Linked DNA regions of Drosophila melanogaster. The gene in region 1 interacts genetically with each later gene. Each region holds a gene or a part of one and is shown in the gene's direction. Other genes may lie near its edges.

The links.
Region 2: of jigr1 (region 1) and lap, changing one enhances a phenotype caused by changing the other (phenotypic enhancement), as found in Drosophila melanogaster (one study listed by BioGRID).

What each region holds. Positions count from the first base shown.
Region 1 is NT_033777.3:25,636,288-25,640,873, forward strand, and holds the start of jigr1 (jing interacting gene regulatory 1), read left to right. Parts: upstream 1-1,555; 5' UTR 1,556-1,785; exon of another isoform or gene 1,786-2,242; intron 2,243-3,505; exon of another isoform or gene 3,506-3,666; intron 3,667-4,586.
Region 2 is NT_033777.3:7,184,970-7,190,013, forward strand, and holds the start of lap (like-AP180), read left to right. Parts: upstream 1-2,024; 5' UTR 2,025-2,442; coding exon 2,443-2,578; intron 2,579-5,044. Other genes in the region: CG10055 (uncharacterized protein), read right to left, coding at 1-788, 845-1,241, 1,337-1,602. UniProt on the Drosophila melanogaster protein: Assembly protein recruiting clathrin and adaptor protein complex 2 (AP2) to cell membranes at sites of coated-pit formation and clathrin-vesicle assembly.

The sequences.
Region 1 (4,586 bases):
CAGTCAGTCATACCGTCAGTCATTTAGCCACTCAGTCAGTTTGCCAACCTGTCTCTGTTTGGCATCACCTGCCATCGCCATCGTCTGTTGTCTGTTAATGTGTTTAATGATGCCCTGGCCATCGGCGATCTCAGTTCAGTTTTCATTTATGCTAAATTGCGACTCTTATGCTGCGCTGCAAAAAAGCTGAAATATTAGCCGTCCTCATTATATAAGTACAGACACATTGAAGATAAGCATAAAGCACAATTACAAGCCGAATAAAAAGTTAGTAAACTTAAATCCTTTGTTGGTTTCATTTTCGAAATATGTTATTGATCTTACAAATGATCTTAAATGCCATTAATTGATTTATAGTTCTTAGTTCTTTGATCAAGCTTAAAAAGGATCTGGTTGAAAGAAATGTAATAAATTTCATGGTATCTTTTTCATAGCTAAGCGATCAGCTCTGCTCAAGGTGTGACTATGAGACTCTGTGCCACTCCAGATGTGTCCGGACATGCCTCGTGCCTCAGCGATTGTCCTGATGCGCGATATGCGGGCAGCGCGGGTCTTCGTCTTCTGGTTTCTTCATCGATCTCTAGCCACGCGCCGCAACTTTCCTCGCGACTCTCGGTCGCACTCTTGCCGCCGATGCACCTGCTCGCCAACCAAATGTAAACCCAACTGGCCACCGAATGTGGGCCGCCCTAATGGAGTTGTCCCCGGGCCCAAGGTTCGCAACTTTTACCAGCCTGCTCTGGGCGATCATTAGCTGACAGAAGGCCTCACTCGACGGACAACATTTTTTGGGCTTTAAGTCTTAGTTAAAACTTCTTTTTTGGGCTTCTAGGGGATCTTCTATGCATTCGGAAGGATACAATTGCTGATGTTGGGATATGTACCTATAGTAAGTCAGCAATGAATTTGCTTTCATAAATATACATTAAATCTTTTAAAGTGTATCCTTTACGCAGAACTTTCCATATCTAAATATGTCTCTTAAATTTAAAAATATATTATAAATTATTCTAGAAGTATCCTAAAAAAATCTATTAGGTGAGGCTTTTGAAATCCTTCAAAATCAGTGGCTGCATCCTTATTTAGACAGTCTCTTTCTCGTATGACATAACATCCCCCTGTTCTACGACATTCCAGAAGCCTTGTTAGGGAAACCTTTGGTCCTTTCTGGGAGAGTATCAAGCGATTCGGCGCAGAGAGCGAACAAAGATCGAGGTACCCTTTATTTTTCGAGAGTAAGAGAGTTCATACGAGTTGCTAAGGATATAGCTATGCATCTTATTCTGCATTTAAATTTAAACCAATACACTATGAAAATCCTTAAACAAAAGTATAATTTATACACATATGTATGTATACTTAAGTTGTTATATTTTATGTCTAGCTAACGTCAGACTCCACGACTTGAAGTGTTACTTTATACATTCTATGCCCCTTAAAAGGCAGGTAGTAGGTATCTAAAAGTTGCCACCCCTGCGAGCTGCGTTCCTTTTTGCAGCCGCTGCTTCTGCCGGCGTCGGCAGAGAAATTCGAGTCTGAGTTCTGAAGTCGTTTTCGTTGAGGCGACGAGCTGAGTCGCCGCTGTGGAGGAAATTCAATTGCGCGCAATCCATCGGCGGCGACGGTTGTGTCTCAAAAGAGCCTTCCAACTCCTGACTACTACTGATCAAAAGAAATAAAAGTAAAAAGTGACCAAGTTACTGCGGATCGAGGAAGTTAAAGCCTTGAGCCTCCGGCACGACGATGGTGTGTTAAACATTTTTGTGCGCTTGTGTTTGTTTGTCGGTGAGTTGAGTGCGCGCGCTACTTTTATTTGTTAACTTCACCAAACAGAACCGTTAGTCCCAAGTGCCCTCACAAAAAAAAAAAAATAGAAAAACACCAACTAAAGGAAAAGAAACATCATAAACCGACGAAATATCCCCCAAAGAATCTGTGTAAAAGTGCAAAGAGACAAGGCGGAGAATGCGCCCGAAAAAATCAAGGAAAAAATAACAGAAAAAACATTTGGCTGGGTGCGGTGATCTTGAACCCGGGCTCAACTCCGCGTAACGGTGCATCGGCAAGTGCAGGAAGAAATGGGTGAAGATGGAATAGAGGAGGAAGGAGGAGAAGAAGGATGAGGAGCGCGATGAGGCCGTTGCATTTCTTTTGATTGCTTGTGTATCATCTTCGGGGATCTCTGAGCGCCCACTCTTTTTGCGGGCATTTTCCGCTCATTTTTGGCGCAGCCTCCCAAAAGGTAATCTCCCCAAGTTCCCAAGACCAGCGTTATAAAACTGCCGTTAGTTTTTTTATGTTTAACCGTTTTTGGGCGCAGCCGCGAGGAGTGACTCTCTCCTGCAGATAATTACGGCAAAAAGGTGAAGAATTTATGCTGACCATCAAAATAGCTAATAGTTGGAAGTTAAACTAAAGCGCTCTGCTAAAAAGTCTTTTTGCGCCCAAATGATTGTGCATATAGGCGGGGAAAATGGCGATTTTCCTGTCGCCTTTTGATTTATTTACATGTGCTTTTGCAGAAGCACAAAGAAATAAGAAGCCATTCTTTGTGCAGAAGTCAAACAAACATTCTGACTCATTCTCTTCGCGCTCTTTTTTGTTGAACTTTTATTTGTTTTTTAACATGAGCCCCAGTGCGGGAGAAAGAGCAAGTAAAGTTAAAGTAACGGACAAGGAACATAAGCATCGTCATCGCCCCCAGTTCTTCTCCTTATCCCTACCATCATCACGTGTCGCCAACTCTGTTCTTCGCCTACACAGACATAAAATGTGAGGATCTTAATTTAAATTAGAATGGCAGTTGTAGTTTTTAAAAAGTATTTAAACTAAATATTAAACCAGGATAACTTATTTATTTTTCAAAATCTTCACACTTTCTTCAAGAAACCGATTGATTGAATAATCATTTTGACGAACTTTGATGATGATTCGTATAAGCTATTTCTCTCAGTGCACGCTTTTTGCTCTGGCCATCAGCCATGTCAGCGCCTTCATTATAATAATTTTTATTGCTTTTGCATAAATCAAAAATCATGGAAAAAGAAACAACTGGCAATCGTAAAATGTGAAGAGAGGCTACAAAACATAAAAGGTGCGTTTTTCGACTGTCTGCACTAATTTCACAAAATGTTGTTCGTTGGACCCGCGTTTTCCTTTTTTTTCTTAATCCTCGCATTTCCGTTACTGTTGCTTTTGTTTTTGTGCCAAATCATTGCGGTCTCTGCATACAAATTCATTAGTGACGGCCCCTATTCTTTGCTCTTCTTGCTCCTTTGGAAGAATTCTCCATCTTCACCTTCTCCACCTCCCACACACTCTCGTTTCTGGGAATTGCCATTTTTGTTTTTGTTGTTGTTGGAGCACCTTTCTTGCAGCGGATTCTGCAGGAACTCACACGGCGCCCTCTCTTCTCATCCCCATTTTTTACAAAGCCTCCTTGTTTCTCGCTTTTCTACAGAATTATGCACAAGGCCTAGGGGCAACTTTCTTTTTGTGTGTTTTTAGTTCACAGTTGATAGGCAAAACTTCTGGACCTTTTCAACTCAAATGTAGATAATAGGAAATCAAGGAAAATGCTGCAGTAAAACTACTTTCTTGATGTGAAATATTATTTATACACTCATTTCTTTCCTATACTATTAATTATAACAATTCATGGGTCATGTAAGCATTTATCGTAGTCCATATCAATCAGTCCCAATCTGTCTTTTGCCACATTAGTTTCCCATGGAGTGAACATAACCTTCTAACGCAACAAAGCTCCACATTCCCTAAATAAATTTCAACACTTTGTTTTGTAGCTCTTTCGGAGTCTACAAAACCGAAGCGCACAAAAAATTAAGATCAAATTTTTACCAGCTGCTTAGTTTCAATTTCTTTTTGCTCGATTCTGTCCTGATTACTGTAACCAAAAATGTGACCCACACCCCCTCCCAAAAGCCCACACTTTGACAATTTGGTCACTAATTTTAGGGCCCTATACTCCGATGTCTGAGCGAAATACAGTTGTCGGTAAAATTTTATTGATCTTCGTTTTTTCTGCACAAAAATATAAAATTGTTTCATGGTCGAGGCTCGTCGTTGCTGTTGTTGCCGACGAAATCGAAATCTCGCCAAGAAGCAAACGGCAATCAGCAAATCGAATTCAAAACGCGTGTGTGGAGGGAGGAAGTCCCAGATCCCAGAAGAAGATCCCTTAAGAGAGCCCAAAGAGACGACTCCAGACTTGAGACGCGCCACGACAATAACAACAACAAAGCCGCAATCAGCAAATACTTGGTTTAGGCGGGCCAATACACCGGAAACAATCAAGACTAATATTGACATGACATACCTTAACTAAAATCACTTTGATAGGTGCAAAGATAGTTTCAAGGTTCCAGTCTATTCAATTTATATGTAATTATTTATTCAAATTTGGCGAGGTTATTAATTATCTTATTTGACCGTTATGACTGGGTAATATTTGGCAGTGTAGCCACTGTCCCATCGAAGAGCCACAAAGGGCCGCCCGAAAAAATATTTTTATCTTGATATTTCTGTTTTTTTGCCGCTGTTTGTTGTTGTTGCTGTTCTAAATACGC
Region 2 (5,044 bases), about 18 Mb from region 1:
ATCTCCTGCATCAGCTCCTTGATCAGCTCAGTCTCAATCTCGGTCACTCCCAGGCCCAAGTGTTGCTTGTTTACGTCCATCAGCACGTTCTTAAGGTTGCGGGCAAGAAGGCGCATGTGCTCATCACTGCAGGCGCTCGGGCTGGTCACATATCGTATATAGTCCTCCAAATAGTAGTTGTTGAAGCTATCGCGACTGGGATCACTGCTGGCGAACTGCTGGTGCGTTAGCAGCAGCTGATTAATTAACCAGTTGCGACCGCCCTTTAAAACTTCTATGGCATCCCGTACACATTGGCGGCCCAACTCGAAATTGCGGTACAGCGGGTAGGTGATCATTCGCCGCAGGAAGGCAACCAGTACGTCCCGATAGTTGTCGAATTGCTCAAAGTAGCAATAAAGCGGGCACAGTATGCTTCGCGTCCAGCCCGATTCACACGTCGGCTCATTGTTCGTCGTCCGCACATCATAGCATATGGCCAACAGAATGCTTATCAGCCCGCAATCGATCTCGTTTTGCCGAAAAACGTCGCACGGCTGCTGCTCCCGTGTCTGCATTCGGCTGATGTTGTGCAGCAGATGCGCTTGCTCCTGGGTCATGGAAGTCTCGTAGATTTTCGGTTTGTAGCGTAAAGGATTCTGGTGACCGGACGGAACCTGTAGCTCCACAAAATTTATTTTGTACTGCTCGCGGGAAAAGCGCTTCATCTCATCGACCACGCGCTCTTGCCGCCTTTGGATGGGGCTCATGCGATGTGGCTCCGACACGCGGCACGTGGCTCTGTCCAACTGTGAAAACATCTGTGTTTAGTGCGCGGAAGAGCAGGTTAACCAATTGAACTCACCTCACTCAGGTCTAGCGGTCCGCTGTATTCGCTAGCATAGCCGTACCCAAAATTGTTGGTCAGCTTGTAGGTGCGCTCGTGGTCGTCGAGCTGCAATTGGCACTGATCGGTGATTCGTTTGAGTTTCCATTCCTGCACCAGAGGCTGCTTGTCCGGCAAATTGGCACTCAGTGTGGGTAGGTGCAGGAATGCGGCTATGTACTCTTTGCGACTATTCCACTGCTTGGCTGCATCCCCCGTACCACCGCCTCCGCCTCTTTCTCCACCGGGTCCTTCCTGGGCACCCGCTGTTAGGGGCAGACAGCGCAGGCAAATTTGGTAGTGATTCTCTGTCGTGTTGAACTTTATCAACAGCGTCTTCAGCTCTCGCAAGTCGAAGGTGCGACGGCTGTGGAATCTGTCCGAAAAGGGAGTACAAGTACGCAATGATATCGCTGGAATTTCGCCACCATGGCCCACCATGGGCACGACAGATTGCCGGATGTGACTCACTTGTACAGCTTAACATCTGCGTAGAAATAAAGATCGTGCGCGTCAACGAATATATCGCAGTTTCTTATGCGATCCACATGCAACGCCTCCGCTTCCGCCAACCCCGACCCCGCTTCCTGACCAAACTCCTCACCAGCGGAAGAAGAAGCAGCAGCAGCTGCTGCTGGCTGGGCCGACTTTGAGGACTGATTCAGGACAGGCGGGCGGGGTATGATCAGCGTGCACGAGTTCTCCAAATAACTGTGTGCAATCTGTCCATTCAACATCTTACAATTTTATTACGAGACTGTTGATTGTGCTAACTACTGTTTTTTAGTATAATTTTATTTATTTTAATGACCAGTATGACCGCCTACTCGAAACTAAAAATTCCTGTTGACAGCCCCTTAGCTTACGTTACGTTTGGCTACACTTCCGACAAATCTAGCTACTTTTTAACTGCTGTTGGGGAATTTTAAGTGCTAAGTTATAAAAAAAGATTTATTTATAGTATCTTAATATTTTATATTTTTATTTATTTATTTATCATTATTTTTTTTTATTTTCAGAACTTATATGAACACATCGTAAAAGCTAAGTTCAGCTATTTCGTATTCGCTTACGTTATGGCAATCGATATTTTCCCACCTAACGCCGTAAACTCAAGTCGATTGCACGCGTTAGCTCCACTTTGTGGACGCTTTAGGACATTGCTCATACGCTCGCTCCATTTGCCAGTCGCCATTATCGATTTGTGGCAGAGGAAAAATAGAGAATTAAAAAATCGCGTTTCAGCGTTAGGCACCGGTTAGAGAGCGCATAAACCGCGGCGATAAATTGTGTAGTGATTGTGACGTAGGAACCACTAAATCTTTACTGTTAGTTTAATCGTGAGGCTCGCATAGCAGAGTTTTCCCGTTCGAAATATTCTCAATCAATCAATACCTCTCTGTCTCTCGCTCGCCCCATACGCGTGTGTGTGTGTGTCTCTCTCTCCCTCTCTCTGTATCTGCTTTCGAGTGTGTGTGTGTGTCGGTGTGGTCAGCTCCTTTGGTGCATAATTAAATTAATCAAGTAAATAAAAACCAGCGAGCGGCAGCAGAAACAACAACAGCAACAGCTTCATCATGACCATGGCAGGGCAAACGATCAACGACAGGCTGCTGGCCGCCCGTCACAGCCTTGCGGGCCAAGGACTCGCCAAGTCCGTTTGCAAGGCCACCACGGAGGAATGCATTGGCCCGAAGAAGAAGCACTTGGACTGTGAGTTGCCCTGTCTATCTCTTTCCCTTGCCCACTCTCTTGGTCTTTCATTGCGTAAATCACCGTTACATTTCCTTGTTATAACACAGAGAGAAAAGAGGCACAGCCTTGTGCTACTAGTGGAAATGTACCCATCAAACACACGAAAATATTATTGTTACTTTGTAACGCTTTAAAATTAATTTATTTTTATTTGCAAACATAAGTCGCAATAAAATCTGTTTAGAAATTAACTTAAATTTTAATAATAATAAAAATTGGAATGAATAATATACTAAAGTAAGGAGTGCCTAACAAATTAGCAAAGAAAATAAAAAATTTAAATGTAGCCTAAATATAAAAACCATCGGCACAGTTAGTACGCTGCAAAAGTAATTTAGCAACAACATTCAGATGCAACCAGTTCGGGTTTCTTGGCTTCCTCGCTCCATTTTCACGTGCCTTTTGTTTTTGTGCGATAAATCACAAAGTTTTCTGAAAACGAAACCACTGATTACGGTCCACAAAGTCCCACAAACACAAACCACCACCCTCAAATTGCATCTGTGGCTCAGCTGCTGGTGTTTGTGGACTCCGTTCGTCATTGATTGGACTCCCCTCTCTTTCTACCAACACACTCTCTCTCTCTCTCTAATGTTACGTCACTTTCCCACGGGTGCACGTGTGTTTGTAGGGGCTTTGAATGGCTTAAAACGCCTACGAAAGCAGGGATTGTGTTTGTCACGGTGTCATTGCTTGTTAAATTTATGCAAGAGTCTTCCCTAATTTGCTGGATTTGCTTACACGTTTGAATTTTGCAAATACTTCTAAAGAGCTCCATATCCTAACGACATTCATTCCCGTTGGAATCTGTTTTTTTGGCTAGTTTTGCTCGCATTTTGACCCCCTTTTATTTAGCTTGTTGGCACTTTTCAGATGACTCATCAGATATGGCTACGAGTAAATGGGAATAAAAGAGGGCAATATTGTGGGGCGTTACTTGTCACATAAACATTGTATTGCAGTTGCCGCAAACCAATTTCCAATATAACCCAAAATTTGGCCACATGTGCTGTTTATTCAAGTTGATTACTTTATCCAAAACGTTATGCTCAATTCAGTTACCAAAAGTCTAAATAAATTAAACCTGAGTTAAAAGTCAGTCCGTACATTTTACAAGACGTCAGCAGGTAGCATGAAATATATTTCTTCTACCTATTTTCTCTATTTTCTTTTGTTAACAACTTTTGTCCTATGATAAAACCAGTTGTGTGTTCACGGAAACAACAGCACTTAATGAGCTTTACACCGATTGAAAAGATCCCAGAATATTTCAACCAGCTACACAAGTGGGCAATAATAATTAAAATTAAGTATCAATGGTCCCCCACTACAGTGGAGTCTCGATACCCGACACATTTATTTATTTATGTATTTAAGAGCATAAGCATGCGAATTGACCCCAGCGATAACTACGCTACAGAAGTCGCCAATCGCTTTTGGTATCCGAGCACTGTAAATATTTTCGAAATATATGTGAATCAGTGAAGATTTCAAAAAGGGCGGATACGAATTTTAACTAAATAACTCATTCAAAATGTCTTAACTACTCAGCGATTTCAACGTTTTGTCATAAAGTGACACCCCCAGGCCACTGTGCTCGTTAAGAAACTCACCAGTTTCGTTTACAAGGACCGATCAATTTTCCACATTTACTGTTTATTGAAATTTGTTCTTATTTATGTATAAATGAATCACTGGCCTGGCGCCCGTCAGCCAAACAAAATGAAGCAAAAGGACGGCGAACATCTGCGATGGCTTGTGAAATGTGCAACGCCCCTCGAATCCCATGCAATTTTTTCTTGCTCGGCGACAAACACTTTCCAACCGAAATGGGAATTGATTCAAATGGAAGCGCATGATAGTAGACACAATGGGATTCAGCTCTTATCATCGACACTTTTCCGTCAGTATTTAGCTTGAATGGCGGCTGCAAGCTTAAAGCGCAGATAAGCAAACAACGACTAAGAGTCGCGACCGATAACGGGACGCAAAAAACAAGATGATTAAATTTATGGGAGGTTCGGTTATTATAATAATAATAATCTTTACAGAAACGTTGTTTGTTTCTGGAACAGATAAATTGACTTTTAAAGTTTTATGTTGCTTCTTAAACATGTAAACATTTGTTGTTTTGCTCATATGAACTAAGTTTTCGTAAAAAAAATATACTGTTGAATAAATCTAGAGGATAATAACTAATAGTTGTCGGCGGTTATATCGAATCTGATTGATTTTTCCAATAAATGCTTGGGAAAATAAATATCAAGTCAAAGTTAATCGCAACCAAAAGTAAAGTTGAGTTGGACGTACAAAATTAAGGAAAAGAGCAAATGGTTCACTAACCGAAAATTACAAAAAAAAAAAACGTTCTTTATTGTTTTCTAATCTACTGTATGGATATGCGTTAAGAAACTAATATAAAGC